Linked DNA regions of Daphnia pulex. The protein of the gene in region 2 purifies or fractionates together with the protein of the main gene of each other region. This does not show direct contact. Links are inferred from orthologs where the notes say so. Each region holds a gene or a part of one and is shown on either strand. Other genes may lie near its edges.

Region 1 (4,256 bases), on a different chromosome or scaffold from region 2:
CATCGATTGCCCAACCAACATATGTATAACTAATTGTTTCTCTTTCTGTATTACAGGATCACAGGGACCCAGTTTAGTATTCAATAAGCGGAAAAAGCTGGAAATCAAAGCCGTTTTCAATGCTGATGAAGACGATACAGACACGACCAAGAAGAAACGGAAACTTGTACCTCTTGGTAACATAATCAGATATTTTCTTTTCCGTAACATTTCTGTTTTAATTAATTTCTTTTCCAATAGACTATGGCGATGAACTTGCTAAAAAGGAAAAAGAGCCCAAGAACACAGAGGAGAAGAGAAAAAATATCAAGAGTCTTATCGAGAAAATTCCAACGGATAAAGCATCCCTCTTTGCTCATCCTGTTGAGTGGAGCTTAGTGGACAATGTAAACAATGAACAAGTACGCGTTGTCGAATAACCACTTAAATTCTTGTTTTATTTTCTCCATAGGTGATAATGGAGCGGCGGATTAAACCGTGGGTCAATAAAAAGATCGTGGAGTACATCGGAGAGCCCGAGCCTACTCTAGTTGAATTCATTTGTTCCAAAGTATTGATAGGAAGCCAACCACAAAATATCATCAATGATGTTCAGATGGTAAGGTCTTAATTTCTATAAATTCTAAAATGTAATTCCTATTTTAACAATTTTATTTTTATTAGGTACTTGATGAAGAAGCAGAGGTCTTTGTTGTCAAGATGTGGCGCTTATTGATCTATGAATTAGAAGCAAAGAAATTGGGTCTCATGACTAAGTGAAAAGGGGTGATTGCATTGGGTCTCTATTTTGCAATTGGTTGTTGTTACATTCACCCCATATTATGTACAACTAATTACACAGCAATTTGACAAAAACACTGCTTTGAATAGATTTTTAAATCAAACTTTGAGAGAAAATGAAGCACCACATGAACAACCACTTTCAGCTTTGGGGTTCTTCAATATGTGGAAGGCAGAGCGGATCAACTCAGACTGGAAATCAATTGTTGCTCCTTCAAGGTATTGCATGGAATCTTTGTCAATAAAGACTCTCGCACCATCTCTTTCAACCACACTGTTTTAATGAAAACTGTCAAAAATTATGTTGATTTAGTTTAGTTTTTAAGTACAAACCAGTCATCTTCATTTGCCGTGGTGTCCAAATTAAACAAGTACTGAAATCCCGAACATCCTCCTCCTTCTACCGATATCCGAAGCGTTTTCTCTGGGGATTTTTTATGCAGTTCCTTCAATCGTTGGACGCACTTATCCGTCATCTTTATAGATCCTTGTACGGTATCCATTTGAACAGCATTGTTTAAAGATGAGAATGCCGAAATATGTGATGGGAATCTGGTTAACCGGTTTACTAATGCCGCATAAAACATTGTTATTGTTTAGCAGAAATATCACGTAACAATACGAAAACGAAACGAATTCAGACGAAAAAAAGCACAACCACAGTTGCATTTTACTTTTATTTTGAAAAACTCGTCATAAAATTCTTAATTCCCGGTTTATTCATACACGAAGATAAAATAACGTTTTTAATTCTAAAATTTTAATTTAAAATTTTGAAGGAGAGTTTTTATATTGTTTTTAAAGTTAACCAGCAAAGTCAAATTTCATTCGCAACTAACATCAAGATCAGCCGAAGTCGAACAGAAAAATCATGGCTGCTCTACGTCTCTCCCTAGGCTCTTCGAAGCAAATTGCAAAAGTATTTCGTGGCAATTTCAGAGTTTCGGCTTGTTTCAAACATCAGGTTATACATGTTTATATAAGAGTAAATAATAAAATAAAAATGTGTCAATGAAGTTCCTTGTACCTTGGATGATTTTGCCACATCCTGTTGGTTACTTTCATCTTACAATTAATTTAATGATATTTCTTCTTATTTGTTTTTTATCTCAGGAAACATGTGAAATTGGTATTCAAGAGCCTAGCTACCTGTCCATCCAACAGCGAAATGATGTGAGGTGCCAATGGAATCCAATCACAGTTTTCAGTCGAGGATTCAGAACTTCTGCAGTACTAGGTGAAATTCACTAGTTCCAAATGGCAATAAATAGTCATAATAATAAAAAAATACTTTTTTTAGGAGATGCGAAAACTGTGATGGTACCACCATTTGCAGACTCCATCAGTGAGGGTGATGTAAGATGGGATAAAGGTATGCTTCTTCCAGAGAGTATTGGTACAACTGTATTAGTAGCACAGAAATGATCTTTGAGTGAAAATGTCAATCTTGAAGCTTAATTTCAGTATTTTCAAGTCAAAGATTTCAAATCATTTTGCGTCCTTTTTTTTCAACTTGATAGACTTGCACCTGTGGATCTTATGGTGTTTTTCATAGAATGTTTTTGTTTTCTTTAGCTGTTGGTGATACAGTCCAAGAAGATGAAGAAGTATGCCATATTGAAACGGACAAAACATCGATCCCGGTTAAAGCCCCTTGCAGTGGGGTCATTACTGAGTTGTGCGTTAGTGATGGTGCTACTGTTCAACCCGGAGCTAAACTCTTTATTATGAGTGCAGGTAACTATTATGCTACCAGAAAATTTCTACATTTTTAAAATAAATTTAAACCGTTTCTTAATCTAGGAGGTGCTGCCAAAGCTGCTGCTCCCGCTGCTGCTGCTGCTGCTGCTCCTCCAACACCTTCACCAGCTGCTCCTGCTCCTCCACCGCCTACCCCTGCCGCCCAACCTGTTTCTGGTGCGATCCCATCAACACCTCCTCCTCGCCCATCCCCTCCAACAACCCCTATTTCTGCCATCCCAGCAGCAAGCATCCAACCTCGGGTTGCTGCTCCTGTTAACGTTACGCAGACGTCCCAAGTACGAATTAAATGTCATTCCCCCATCATTTTAACCTTTTTCTTAATTTTTTCTTATCTCTAGGCTGTTCCCCTAGCCCGTCTTCCACCTGCAGATTATAGCAAGGAAATTACTGGCACAAGAACCGAACAACGCGTTAAAATGAACCGCATGCGACTGCGTATTGCTCAGCGGCTGAAGGAAGCCCAAAATGTCAACGCTATGTTGACAACTTTTAACGAAATTGATATGAGGTAGTATGCCATTGTCTCTTGATGCCATAGGTGGATTAACGTATTTCGTTTAAATTCACAGCAACATCATGGAGCTGAGAAAAACACACGGTGACGCCTTCTTGAAAGTTCACAAAATCAAGTTGGGTTTCATGTCAGCTTTCGTCAAGGCCGCGGCTTGCGCCCTTGCTGATCAACCTACTGTCAATGCCGTCATCGACGGAAATGAAATCGTCTATCGCGATTACATCGACATATCTGTGGCGGTTGCCACACCAAAAGTAATTCTGCTACAGTTTAGCATTAAGAGTTAAATTATTAATAAATTTTTTTGTTTTAAATTTGAAGGGTTTGGTGGTGCCTGTTCTACGTAATCTAGATTCTATGAACTATGCTGACATTGAAAAGGCTATTGCCGCAATGGGTGAGAAGGCAAAGAACAACGCATTGGCTGTAGAAGATATGGATGGAGGTACTTTTACCATCTCCAACGGTGGAGTCTTCGGCTCATTATTCGGTACCCCAATCATCAACCCTCCGCAATCTGCTATTTTGGGCATGCATGGAATTTTTGATCGTCCCGTCGCACGCAATGGCCAGGTACGATAGACTAAAATTAATAACTAACGACTCATCAAAACAGATATCAATCACGAGTTGTTATTATATTTAAATTGATTTCTTTAGGTGGTTATTCGTCCCATGATGTTCGTAGCTTTGACTTACGACCATCGGCTTATCGACGGCAGGGAAGCTGTGACTTTCTTGCGCAAAATCAAGCAGACAATCGAAGACCCCCGTACTCTGCTCTTATCAATCTAAGATAAGCTTTTCATAGAAAGGGACTTTATATATTGCGAATCATTTATAGGAAGCACTAGTTTAAAGTTCCCGATTCAGTTGCATTCTACGAATCTAGAAGGAAACATGAGAGTTATAAATAATAATAAAAAAATAAAAAGAATCGAGTGTTCCCTTAAACACACTGAACTGCGTTCGTCTGTTTTCGGTCTTTTTTCTTTATTCTTCTTTATTTCGTTTTCTACCCCTAGGTGGCAGTGAAAGACGAATCACGTATGAAAATCTTCTTTATTTCGTTTTCTACCCCTAGGTGGCAGTGAAAGACGAATCACGTATGAAAATACACTATTTCTGTTTGAATCATCACAAAATCCGTGTGCTCCTGATCCTTTTAGTAAGGATTAAAGACAACTTAACCATTTCT
Region 2 (4,252 bases):
GCGTCTGGTCCCCTTCTCGCTGGAACGTGATTTTTGTTCCTGCTTTCCAGCCTGGCTTGACGTTTATGGTTAATACTTTGTCTTCTTTTTTAGACGTGCCATCTGCCTGGTAAACTTTGCGGGAGATTTTCATCTTTTTGGTACATCCTAAAAATAGCCAGCAAAGTAAATCACAAATCCAAGAACTGAGTATTACAAAATAAATTTACCTTTAAGAACTTCTTCTAATGTGACGTTAAGGTCGTATTCAATGGGCGGATCTTGTACTTTCTCTTTTCCCATTCCTGGCCCGTGCATGTTGAAACTCTGAGATCGGAAAGCTCCCCCGGGATTTCTTCCTCCAAATCCCAAGTTGATAAAAGGGTCATCCACGTCCATGTCTTCACCACCTTCTGGAAAGAATCCTCTGTTTCCACCTTGCTGCTGTTGACCCATTCCACCCATTGTGAAGAAGGATTCAAAAGGGTTGGATGAACCGAAAAATTGAGCAAACGTGGCCCTTGGATCACCATGATAGGCGTAGGAAAAGCTGGCACCCGGACCGCCGCCGCCTCCTCCTCCGCCGCCACCACCACTTCCCAATCCACCCTTTTTAAGTACAAATATGATGTAAAAACTTAAGTCATTTAATAGGAGAATAGTTCATTTTCTTACCTTTAATCCTTCTTCTCCATACTGATCAAAGACATCTCTCTTCTTTTTGTCACTTAAAACTTCATATGCTTCTGCTACCTCCTTAAATTTGTCTTCTGCACCTGGTGCTTTATTTTTATCAGGGTGGTATTTCAATGCCAGTTTACGGTATGCCTTCTTGATTTCATCATCAGTAGCTGATTTTGATATTCCAAGAATTTTGTAATAATCTTTTCCCATTTTCATGAAGGAAGCCTAGAATGTATTGGAAAGTGAAAACTAAACAAAAGAGAACTTGATTAATGGAGGGTAATTGGATTTTGCTTGGGGATAACTGAATTTTAAAAAACTCAATATGTTTAAAATAATCTAAGTAGGAAATTCTTAAGGAAAAGAGGGAGAGTAACAAAACGGTGTGATGCGTGATGCCCAAAGAAGGTCAACGATTCAGGGTCGTCGATGACGTCGACTTCTAAGTTTGGACTGTGACACAATTTAACCCACCACCAATACGTACTAGTTAAAACGTTTGATTATTACCTTTCTGTATTACAGAATAGTAGAGCTTGGACTCGAAACACTTAAATGATAAAACGTTTGTTTTATTGGAACACTAGTTGTTCGCAAGAGTAGATTTCTCGACTTAATCGACTCGTACAAGTCACAGCTTCAAATAGCGAGAAAATGAGCCCCAGCGAGTGTATGTATCCGTTTGTTATGAATCGAGAACGTTCTCAAATAGTCTGGAAAACACGTTTCCATCTCCTGGTGGAAAGAAAAACAATTTGTAAGTTTTAACATAGTTCACCCTTTCTAGTACAGATGGTGATAGTGTCGCTGAACAGCTGAACAACTTCTGACCGCTGGGAAAAAGCTCGTGAAATCGTGAAGAACTAAAATAAAAATGCAAGTTAATATTTTGAGTAAATTGCCTCAAAATCTTAAGGTATTTCCATTGCATTCAAAAAATTATCTATTATAAAAATTTAAAAAGTATTTCGTCACCGTACTAATGCGATTCAACGTATTTTAACTGTTTATTGGGGACCAAGACATGTTGAGCCTTCTTTTTTCTTTAATCTGGTGTAGCTATTAAAAAGAATAAACTTATTATGTAATATCTTTTCTTGGTTACAGGTCACTGCAGCTGTCAGGAACCAATTAGCTAACTGCAGATGGTACTCTGACAGTACTGAAGCTGATCTGGTGGTCATTGGCTCGGGCCCTGGTGGTTATGTGGCAGCTATCAAGGCTGCCCAGCTGGGAATGAAAACAGTCTGTGTAGAGAAAAATGCAACCCTTGGAGGCACTTGCCTTAATGTTGGCTGCATTCCTTCCAAAGCACTATTGAATAATTCTCACTACTATCACATGGCCCAAAGTGAATTCAAAAATAGAGGAATTGATGGTGATTAATTATTTTAAGATTTATAATGTGAACTGAATTAAATCAATACTTTTCTCTAGTTACTGGCCTTTCATTGAACCTTCCTCAAATGATGAAAGCAAAAGAAACAGCTGTGAAATCTTTAACTGGAGGAATTGCTCATTTATTCAAGAGCAACAAAGTGACACACATCAGAGGACATGGTAAAATTACTGGTGCGAATGAAGTTACTGCTCTTAAAGAAGATGGAACCCAGGTATTAATTAATAATATTAACTGTGTATTTCATGGAAAATTCTATTTTGTTTTCATCTCGGTAGGAAATCGTCCGAACCAAGAATATTTTGATCGCAACGGGATCAGAAGTGACACCATTCCCCGGAATCGATATCGATGAAGAACAAATTGTCTCGTCTACTGGCGCACTTTGTTTAAAAACCGTTCCAGAGAAAATGATTGTCATCGGAGCAGGAGTCATTGGTTTGGAATTGGTAACATTTACTTTATTTGACATAAAAAAGCTTTAAAAAAATAATATTTAAAAAAAAAAAAAATTCTTAATTAATTAAATAATTATAGGGATCAGTGTGGTCTCGACTTGGAGCCAAGGTGACGGCTGTTGAATTTATGAATCAAATCGGTGGTTTGGGTATTGATCAAGAAATGGCAAAATCGTTCCAAAGAATCCTCACCAAACAACACATGCAATTTAAATTGGGAACCAAAGTGTTGGGAGCACAAAAATCCGGCGGAAAAATCATTGTGAACGTCGAAAATGTCAAATCTGCCAAGAAAGAAGAGGTACTAAACAACACCTCTCCCCTATCCATGGACATACCGTTCTAATTTTATCATATGCCTGATAATTCAGATGGATTGCGACGTTCTACTGGTTTGTGTTGGTCGCCGTCCCTTCACGAAGAGTTTAGGTCTTGAAGAAATGTCCATCGAACTCGACCAGAGAGGAAGAATTCCGGTCAATTCACGTTTCCAGTCCGTTGTCCCCAAGTGAGTATCACCTTACTTAAACGTCTCGGTATAGTGTGTTCTGTACTACATGAAATGTGTTAAACTCGGTAGCATCTACGCCATTGGTGATTGCATTCTCGGCCCCATGCTGGCCCACAAAGCTGAAGATGAAGGCATTATCTGTGTCGAAGGAATTGCAGGAGGATCCGTTCACATCGACTACAACTGCGTACCTTCCGTCATTTACACACACCCTGAAGTTGCTTGGGTTGGAAAATCCGAAGAGGACTTGAAATCAATGGTAATTTCCTAATATTTATACCCTTTTTTAACTTATCATGCTTTATTGAATTTAGGGAGTTGAATACAAAATTGGTAAATTCCCCTTCGCCGCCAACAGCCGCGCCAAGACAAACGATGATACCGATGGTATGGTTAAAATCTTAGGAGACAAGACTACTGATCGCCTTCTTGGAGCTCACATAATTGGACCCGTACGTTATCTTTTGTTTCTACCATGTCATTTAAATTGTAATAAATTACATTTGATGATATTATTCAGGGTGCCGGCGAAATGATCAACGAAGCCGCATTAGCCATGGAATATGGTGCTTCCTGCGAAGACATTGCCCGCGTTTGCCACGCCCATCCGGTATACTAATAATTTGAATTATTGTCCAAGAAAATATTTTCGTCTAACTTCGTTTTTCTCATTTACAGACCTGCTCGGAAGCACTGAGGGAAGCCAGTCTCGCAGCTTTCTCCGGCAAAGCCATCAATTTCTCATAAGCGTTAGCAAGCTTAGATTATAATATAGATAATTCTATGGATTCCCCCATTCTTTAACTGCAGTCCTTGTATGAGGTTGTATGTGTGTAAAAAAAGAAACAAGCTTAAATATAAACGCCTAACATAAAATTCAACCGAAATCATTCTTTATTCACATAAAGACAAGTAATTTTCCATATAGTCGATCACGGCAGTGGTACTGGACAGCGCATTAAAATATCTCCTGTCGACTCGTGACATATTTTTCTCGCACATGTAGATGAGATGATGATGAAAGTGAGTGAAGGAGATACCAGTTTCTAAAGAAAGCTTCATCCAGTCTTTGATGCACTCGATGGGAGTTTCGGAGAATCCAGCAAACATTGCTAAACAAACAGTAGCAAAAGCCAAAATATTAAATCAAATGCTATAAGAAACATGGAGAATAAGATGTTTCAATTACCTGGATTTTCTAAGATTCCTCTAGCTGACATG
Region 3 (3,555 bases), on a different chromosome or scaffold from region 2:
CTGTGAAATGGGGCTCGAACGGCTTGCCCCAACGACGAGGGAGGCATTCACTATGCAGTATACACTATTCATTAATTAAAAAATGGATATGAAAATTTAAAATTTCAATCCGGTTTTTGCACGAATGAAATCTCATTCAAAGGTCTTGCGTGGTCCTTACAAAGCATTTATATTCCATATGAGCCATGACCCTTGATTGCGATTTTTCCTTCACGAGAACAAGCTTTTGAATCCAGACAATTATGTCCCATGGCAACTGGACTTGAATTAGTCGACTAGAATTTTGCAAAGCTGTTACTACTAAATCGTTCAGGTACTATACTCTTACAATGTCTCAGGTATCACGATTTTCCAGATTTCTTTGTTCTTAATTTTTTTTTTAAGTGATGGAACCCTGGCGAGTGGAGAAGTCACAAGATTTGAATTGATTTTGTAACAATTAGATGAAACGTTGCCTATTCCCTTAAGCCAAAATAACTAAAATGAGTCACCATTATAACAGGCAGGAATCAAATATGTAGTTATAAGTTACGTTAACTACCAATTAAAAGACAACAATTACAGTTAACAACTCGAAATTTCCGAGTTGATGCTTCTTTAGACTACCCATGAAGATTTACACATCGGCACGAGAAAAGAATGAGAGAGAAAGATAGTATACAAGATCTAGGAAATTTTTGATGTTGGTCTTGTCTCACTGGTGTGTCGAACTTAGTCCAACTATTGCACGTTCAGAATTTTCTTAACAACTCGGACCACATCTTTTCCTTGAGGAAGAGAATTATCTTCGAGAGTCTTGGCGTAGGGCATAGGGATATCAGCGCCGGTCACACGGACGGGTGGGGCATCGAGATAGTAAAATCCTGGGCCTTGAAATTCGCAATAACACAGATATATGAAACCGAATGCAGACTGGAGAAATCTTATTTAATTACCTTCAACCATTCGAGAAACAATTTCAGCGCCTACACCTGACTGTGGCCAGCCGTGCTCTACTGACACCAAGTGATTTGTCTTTTTCACCGATTCCATGACGGTATCAAAATCTAATGGTCGTAGACTTCGGAGATTGACCACCTCGGCTTCAATGCCAATGGCACTTAACTCCTTTGCGGCATCTAAACACGTAGCAACTGCTCGAGAGAAGGCTACCAAAGTTATGTGCTTACCTAGTTTAAGAAAACAAGTTAAGATAAGACAAAGAAATTTGTTTTTGTCTAAGAATATTTCACGTATTACCAACACGCTCGATTTTAGCTTTGCCAATGGGCACAATGAAGTCCTTTGACAAAACCTCGTCAGAAACGTCAAAAGCAGTTCCGTACATAATTTCGTTTTCTAGACATACGACAGGGTCAGGATCACGAATTGCAGCTTTCAGCAAACCTTTGGCATCTTCCGCGGAATAGGGAGCTACAACCTAAAACATCACCCCCAGGGAGTGAAGCTGTTATAATTATAGAACCACAGTTAAATAAAGAATTGTTGACTACCTTCAGGCCAGGACAGTGGCTATACCATGCACCAAAGCACTGTGAGTGCTGGGCAGCAACTCCAGCTGCAGCTCCATTAGGTCCTCTGAAGACAATGGGTACATTGACTAATCCAGCTGACATACTTAAATAAATGGAAGAATGAATAAAATAATTAAGATTCCAATATTTGAGGAAAAATTGAAGTAAGCATCCATACTAGAAGGTTTTAGCAGCTGAGTTAATTACATGATCAATTGCTTGCATCGAAAAGTTCCATGTCATGAATTCACAAATAGGTCGTAGTCCTCCCTGAGGATAGTTGGAAGGAAAGTTGAAAATATTTAGTCAGTAAAACTTGTTACACTTCAAACTTACCATAGCAGCACCTGTGGCAATACCAGCAAAGCCCATCTCAGTGATGGGGGTATCAATGACACGTTTATCGCCATACTTTTTCCACAAGCCCCTAGAAATCTTGTAGGCTCCATCATACTGAGCAACTTCTTCACCCAGAATGAAAACTCGCTCATCCCTTTCCATTTCTTCATCAATGGCGGAGTTGAGGGCATCTCTCACTGTAAGCTAAAATGAAATATGAGCCTTTAGCATTCAAGCAACCTGCTATTACCGTCCATACCTGTGCAGAGGCTGGACGAGAAGTGGATATTCCTCGTAGTCCAACATATTTAAAAGCATTCTGTTTCGGGAAATGAGTATGAAAATGAATAAAAACAGTAATAATAATAGCAGATATGATTATGCAAGCTACTTTTACCTTTAACATCATTGTGGATTTCGCAAGAGGAGCCGCCATAGCCGGTCGTGTGCTTTATACAGAAAGGCGTGATCAGCTGATCGTGATCGACTTATTAATAGAACGCATAGTTTTTCACATAACCGGTAGGTGGAGGAAAAGGCGCTTCAGCATGCGCAACCAAGTAGCGCAGACACGACATCAAGCACATTGAATATTTTCATTTTTTTTTTGTCATTTTGAACATAAAAGCTGCATATTTGTTCTTATTTAGGCCTATGTATGCTTTTGTATTACACATTAAAAGTACGACCACATAAGTCTAAGTTTATGTTGCAGCACTTCCTGTGAAACAAAACCTCTTATTCCGGCTCCGGCGAGTGCTGGATTCAGTTGATTTCCGCAAAAACGGTTAGCAACTAATCCCATTGGTTGGATATGAGGCAAACGGAAGCATTATAATTACCGTTTGAGCTATTGGATTGGAAGTGATCGGAAGTGATTGTGCCCATCAATTATTATTAGATTTGATTTTGACGCTTTGATTTATCGCCATTATTGTGGAAAAGTGCCTGACCTAGCATCTTTGGAATATAATGTACCCCTAGTTTTTGGTATTCTTTAATATCTGGATTAAATTAAGCACACTACACACCAGTGAAACAAGACTAAAATGTAAAATTTCCTAGATATTGTATTATACTTTTCCGCTTTCGTCTTTGTTCTAGTGCCGATGTGTCAATCTTGATGGATAGCCGTCTGATGAAACAACTCGGGAAAGGTCGAGTTGTCAACTGTCGTAATTGGTTTGTTGTGTTTAAAAAACGAGTATAGTTAGAAGTTTTTACGTTTTGTCGTCGACGGCTTCGTTTTATATATAGGTGAAATTATTTAGTATTTCGTGCTCATTTCATTGAGGAACAAGGGAAATTGGAAAGTTTGAGAGAAGATATATAGAACCATGGAATAGAACATACAATTTACACGGGAGGAGTAAAACGAAGAAAAAGTGACACACAGTTTGGAATGGATGCGATACAGATCTGTACAGGAGATAAATAACCACAGACATATATTATATTGCAACAATGAGACTCGTCCGAACAAACAGACATTCCGACCATTTCACATTTGAACGTCAAAAGAAAACAAACGCAGAAGAATTGAATCATTTGCAATCGACATTCACCAAGTAGATCTCCGCCTCGCCGTGTTAAAGGTAGTAGTGGCTTTGACGTTTATTACAACACTGTTGATCGCCGTCCATCCGATTAGAATGAAGGTTGTTGCAACCCACGTCCACGAAGAGATCGTACAACTTGACGA
Region 4 (4,314 bases), on a different chromosome or scaffold from region 2:
CGAATCTGCGTTGGTTAAAGGCTCCGTATCAGTACCACTTGCATCGCTGGTGCCACAAGGGGAATTTCCGTTTAAAGGCTGATTTGCAGGTTTAGCTTTCGTTAGCGCTTGTTTCAGTTTCTATCAATTAAAAATATTGTTGAGAAGAGTAAAGGATATTGATAAAGAAATTATTTTTGTTGGTACCAATTTGGCTTCCGACATTACTGGTCTTGCTGACTTAATTTTGCAACTACTTTGTTCCACGCCAACAGGAGCCAATGGAGATCCTACAGCAGGATTCACTATTTTAGATGCGTCAGTTTCGGTAGGTACAGGAATAGCAGGAATTTGAACTAAACGTCCATCAGGAAGACGTAGCAGAAGCGATGTCATAGGATCACTGGTGGCAGATGATTGAACAATCGGACGAGGCATAATATTCACAGTTGGGTTTGTGGCTGTCTTTGTGCAATTGCTTTGAAAAGTGTTGTTTTTCTTCGGTCGATCTTTTCTTGAACTGCAGGTAATTATTGAAGTGGAAATTGTTTTGCCGCAATCAGATAATGTGGCGGTCGTTGTATCTACTCTTTTGTTGAAAAATCCTTGGGACTCGGTTGTAGGAGCTGTTACAGTAATCAATGGAGTTGGTACAGGAGTTGTTGCTGGAGATGGAAGAGTCAGACATTCTGATGTGGACAATGATGGCATGAGGTAATTTTTTCTAACATTAGCTGATTTGGGAGGAGGCAACTGTGTAACTACATCTGAATCCAGTGGAAGCACAGGGAAGACATGAGGAGTGTGGAGAACATCATCTGATGTGGGAAGTGAAGGAGGACTGAGATGAGTCTCAGCTGCTCTTCTAAATTGCTCTAAAAAAAACAAATTGAACTATTTTTGACAAGTTTTCTGTAGTTAATAGTGGCATTTTACCATCAAAAGGATTGACATTCAAATCTTGAAAAAGCCCAACTTCTTCACAGTTTCTAATAAATCTTGTTGGGGTGGGGGTTTCATCAGCTATAATAGTTAAAAATTAGATTAATACAAAGGAAGGGTAACAGAATTTATTAACACAAAAATTTACATTTCATTTGTATTAATGAAGTACAGAGTTAGACATAAAAAAATCAACTCACCCACAAAATTAGGTGTCTTTGAGCCATTATTACTAATTGATTCAATTGAAAGGGACATGTGTCTCTTTTTATGAATACTCAAGTGGTCTTCATTGGCGAACCTCTTTAATTGCGAAAACGATGAATGAATAAGATAGCAAAACACCAACAGTCAACATTAAATAAAACTGTTTACAAATTATTACCATAGAACAACCAGGACTGGAGCAAGGAAATGGTTTCTCGTCATCCACCATTTGAGTATTTGAGGGAAATATCTTTAAACGATTCAATTGCGCAATAGAAAACGCGAAAATTAACGAAAATATTGAAGTAAACAATCTACAATCGTACACAAGTGGTTTTTCTTTCGAAAGATTCTCAGAACTGAGAAGAAAGGTATAGCAGACTACATTACGCTCTTTTAGGGTTGTGGACTTGTGGTCTGCAGACTGCAGTTTTTTGGGTTACCAAAAAATCAGCTGTTCTAACCTGCCTTCGTCTTCTTCATATGAGCACACCGTGATTTCCACTTCCAGTTCCGCTCATATAATTCCTTGAAAATGTTCCGATCATCGTTAGTTCGAAAGGCTTGTGTTGCAAAGATTACTTTGGAAAATGCAACGAAAACACGAGCTGCAAGGAAACTTTCGACGGTTGTGTTTCAGAAGGATATTTCAAGGTAATCATAGTTTTTCAACTAGCAGGAGCAAAAGCGTTTTTTCCCTATGATTTCCCATACATACAATTGTGTATCAATACTATTTATCTAAATTTTATCAAAATATATAAAAGATTACATTATCTTAGAAAGTATGTATGAAATAAGTGGATTGACGATCTGCTATTATTGTCTGCAAGCATTTTACTGGTGGTTTACTTTCTAGACGTGGAGAAACATATGTTGACAAGAGCACTGGGTATTCAACAGTCTCTATCATAACTGGACTCCATAAAACATCAGTAAGGATGTATGCCAGTGGTACACTTCCTTCCCATAAAAGAGTTGAACTGCCCGCATTGTCTCCTACCATGGAATCTGGAACTCTTATTAGTTGGGAAAAGCAAGAAGGTATACATACACCTTTAATAGTAAATTTCTTTTAATCACTCATTTGCTTGTATATATATTTTTTTAGGTGACAAACTTAATGAGGGAGACCTTCTAGCTGAAATTGAAACCGATAAGGCCACTATGGGATTTGAAACTCCAGAAGAAGGATACTTGGCTAAAATTATGATCCCTGCTGGCTCCAAAGATGTTCCAATTGGAAAATTGGTTTGCATCATTGTTGAAAAGGCTGAAGATGTAGCAGCTTTCAAAGATTTCAAAGACGATGGGGCTGCTGTTGCTGCTCCACCAGCTTCTCAACAACCAGAAATCATTACTCCATCTCAATCATCAGTTGCTACAGCTGGTATGCCATTTTATTTTTCATGCATTACATAATGCACACCTTATTTACAAGTTACATCCTTAGCTCCAGTACCCTCATCCACCGCCGCAACTTCTTCTGAGAGGGTATTTGCGTCACCATTGGCTAAAAAAATGGCTGCCGAGAAAGGAATTTCATTGGCATCTGTATCTGGTGGTTCAGGATTCGAAGGATCGATCACAGCTAAAGACCTTGATAAATTGTCTGTGGCTCCGAAACCCGTTGCTGCAGTTCCACCAACTGCAGCTGCTCCTATTCAAGCAGTTGCTGGACAAAAATATACGGATCTTCCTGTAACTAATATCCGTGGTGTTATCGCAAAACGTTTACTACAGTCCAAACAATCTATCCCTCATTATTATTTGACGGTAATAACTCGGTTTTCTTAAATATTGTGTGATAGAGAAATATTGTATAATGTAAATAATGATGCAACTTCTTACGCTAGGTGGACGTTACCATGGATTCAGTACTTTCACTTCGTCAGGAATTTAATGCACTACTAGGAAAGGATGGGGCCAAGCTGAGTGTTAACGATTTTGTCATTAAAGCTGCTGCTCTAGCTTGCCGTAAAGTTCCTGAAGTAAATTCATCGTGGCAAGAAACTTTCATTAGACAGTAAGTCAATTCTCTCATTGAACTGGTTCATGCTAGATTTTTCTATTTCGCATGTCGCGTGTCATGAACACGTGACTTGCGCAGCGATAACCCGACTACTTGTTTGTATCATAGCATAGGGGGTATAGCTCAGTGGTAGAGCATTCGACTGCAGATCGAGAGGTCCCCGGTTCAAACCCGGGTGCCCCCTCTCCTTTTTTTCAAGATTTTTATTCATTATTTTTACATATGTGTTGAAAATGTTATGACATGTCAGTAAAGGAACTATTTTTGCTTATAGGTATGACACGGTGGATATTAGTGTAGCCGTGAGCACAGATCGTGGTCTTATTACACCTATCGTCTTTAATGCTGAGAGAAAAGGTCTCGCTTCTATCAGTGCTGATGTACGCACATTAGCTGGCAAAGCTCGCGATGGAAAACTTCAGCCCCACGAATTTCAGGTAATAAATCGAAGATTGATTTAAGTAAATAACTATTTAATCCAAATTTTGTTAAATAGGGCGGCACTTTTTCCATCTCGAACCTTGGAATGTTTGGAGTTCGAAATTTCACTGCCATCATAAACCCACCCCAGTCATGCATTCTGGCAGTTGGAGGAACTGAAAAACGACTGGTAGTTGATGCATCCGCTGAGCAAGGTTTCCGTGCTGCCAATGTCATGACTGTGACGTTGAGTAGCGACCATCGTGTTGTGGATGGTGCAGTCGGCGCCCAGTGGCTGGCTGCTTTCAAGAGTTACCTTGAAAAGCCTAGCACAATGCTTTTGTAAAAAAAAATATCTAGCAAAGCAACCTTCGTGAATGTATGTTGTATCTTAAAAGTAAGGTAGTTTAGTTGAATTAGGAAATCTAGTTGATCCTAAGTTTTTTGTTTTAAAATCAAATTGGATTACCATTTTTCAGATCTGTACTGTTATTCTGTTAAAAAACCCTGTGAATAGTAGGGGACAAATAAAAAAGTGCTGACGAAATATCCTCGTAATTTATTCTTTGAATTTAACAAGCAACACGTGAGACAACAAATCAATTAAATATAAATTGAATTGAGCTCATGCCGTCATTTTAAGTTAAGTCTTCAAGTGACATTGAAATAAACACTTGAGTTAACATGGTAAGTGAATAAGGCGGGGTGTGAGAAACTGGGAAGATTGCACAAAG

What was found.
Region 1: the proteins of dihydrolipoyl dehydrogenase, mitochondrial-like (region 2) and dihydrolipoyllysine-residue succinyltransferase component of 2-oxoglutarate dehydrogenase complex, mitochondrial-like purify together in Homo sapiens (affinity purification with mass spectrometry; 3 studies listed by BioGRID and IntAct, counting the BioPlex papers as one, with this or other methods). This does not show direct contact. The link is inferred for Daphnia pulex from reciprocal best matches to the Homo sapiens genes DLD and DLST.
Region 3: the proteins of dihydrolipoyl dehydrogenase, mitochondrial-like (region 2) and pyruvate dehydrogenase E1 component subunit beta, mitochondrial-like purify together in Homo sapiens (affinity purification with mass spectrometry; 3 studies listed by BioGRID and IntAct, counting the BioPlex papers as one, with this or other methods). This does not show direct contact. The link is inferred for Daphnia pulex from reciprocal best matches to the Homo sapiens genes DLD and PDHB.
Region 4: the proteins of dihydrolipoyl dehydrogenase, mitochondrial-like (region 2) and dihydrolipoyllysine-residue acetyltransferase component of pyruvate dehydrogenase complex, mitochondrial-like purify together in Homo sapiens (affinity purification with mass spectrometry; 4 studies listed by BioGRID and IntAct, counting the BioPlex papers as one, with this or other methods). This does not show direct contact. The link is inferred for Daphnia pulex from reciprocal best matches to the Homo sapiens genes DLD and DLAT.

Annotation. Positions count from the first base shown.
Region 1 is NC_060017.1:2,842,815-2,847,070, forward strand, and holds dihydrolipoyllysine-residue succinyltransferase component of 2-oxoglutarate dehydrogenase complex, mitochondrial-like, read left to right. Parts: upstream 1-1,428; 5' UTR 1,429-1,651; coding exon 1,652-1,744; intron 1,745-1,893; coding exon 1,894-2,017; intron 2,018-2,080; coding exon 2,081-2,152; intron 2,153-2,355; coding exon 2,356-2,517; intron 2,518-2,583; coding exon 2,584-2,819; intron 2,820-2,882; coding exon 2,883-3,052; intron 3,053-3,113; coding exon 3,114-3,312; intron 3,313-3,379; coding exon 3,380-3,631; intron 3,632-3,718; coding exon 3,719-3,853; 3' UTR 3,854-4,198; downstream 4,199-4,256. Other genes in the region: RNA-binding protein 25-like, read left to right, coding at 57-176, 241-386, 452-598, 664-759; iron-sulfur cluster assembly 2 homolog, mitochondrial-like, read right to left, coding at 880-1,054, 1,114-1,367. UniProt on the Homo sapiens protein: Dihydrolipoamide succinyltransferase (E2) component of the 2-oxoglutarate dehydrogenase complex. The 2-oxoglutarate dehydrogenase complex catalyzes the overall conversion of 2-oxoglutarate to succinyl-CoA and CO(2).
Region 2 is NC_060019.1:6,199,985-6,204,236, forward strand, and holds dihydrolipoyl dehydrogenase, mitochondrial-like, read left to right. Parts: upstream 1-1,432; 5' UTR 1,433-1,537; coding exon 1,538-1,579; intron 1,580-1,770; coding exon 1,771-2,041; intron 2,042-2,100; coding exon 2,101-2,276; intron 2,277-2,340; coding exon 2,341-2,511; intron 2,512-2,599; coding exon 2,600-2,821; intron 2,822-2,891; coding exon 2,892-3,028; intron 3,029-3,100; coding exon 3,101-3,290; intron 3,291-3,345; coding exon 3,346-3,483; intron 3,484-3,551; coding exon 3,552-3,641; intron 3,642-3,709; coding exon 3,710-3,778; 3' UTR 3,779-3,907; downstream 3,908-4,252. Other genes in the region: dnaJ protein homolog 1-like, read right to left, coding at 1-147, 210-588, 655-879; tRNA-dihydrouridine(20a/20b) synthase [NAD(P)+]-like, read right to left, coding at 3,926-4,143, 4,221-4,252. UniProt on the Homo sapiens protein: Lipoamide dehydrogenase is a component of the glycine cleavage system as well as an E3 component of three alpha-ketoacid dehydrogenase complexes (pyruvate-, alpha-ketoglutarate-, and branched-chain amino acid-dehydrogenase complex).
Region 3 is NC_060026.1:4,317,810-4,321,364, forward strand, and holds pyruvate dehydrogenase E1 component subunit beta, mitochondrial-like, read right to left. Parts: upstream 2,385-3,555; 5' UTR 2,290-2,384; coding exon 2,251-2,289; intron 2,173-2,250; coding exon 2,113-2,172; intron 2,058-2,112; coding exon 1,851-2,057; intron 1,785-1,850; coding exon 1,693-1,784; intron 1,618-1,692; coding exon 1,494-1,617; intron 1,421-1,493; coding exon 1,240-1,420; intron 1,170-1,239; coding exon 936-1,169; intron 870-935; coding exon 721-869; 3' UTR 559-720; downstream 1-558. Other genes in the region: neurotrimin-like, read right to left, coding at 3,415-3,555. UniProt on the Homo sapiens protein: The pyruvate dehydrogenase complex catalyzes the overall conversion of pyruvate to acetyl-CoA and CO(2), and thereby links the glycolytic pathway to the tricarboxylic cycle.
Region 4 is NC_060017.1:7,713,877-7,718,190, forward strand, and holds dihydrolipoyllysine-residue acetyltransferase component of pyruvate dehydrogenase complex, mitochondrial-like, read left to right. Parts: upstream 1-1,511; 5' UTR 1,512-1,663; coding exon 1,664-1,782; intron 1,783-1,987; coding exon 1,988-2,172; intron 2,173-2,239; coding exon 2,240-2,518; intron 2,519-2,581; coding exon 2,582-2,904; intron 2,905-2,984; coding exon 2,985-3,154; intron 3,155-3,272; exon of another isoform or gene 3,273-3,344; intron 3,345-3,434; coding exon 3,435-3,597; intron 3,598-3,656; coding exon 3,657-3,926; 3' UTR 3,927-4,127; downstream 4,128-4,314. Other genes in the region: cyclic AMP-responsive element-binding protein 5-like, read right to left, coding at 1-120, 187-854, 916-1,002, 1,122-1,224, 1,307-1,357.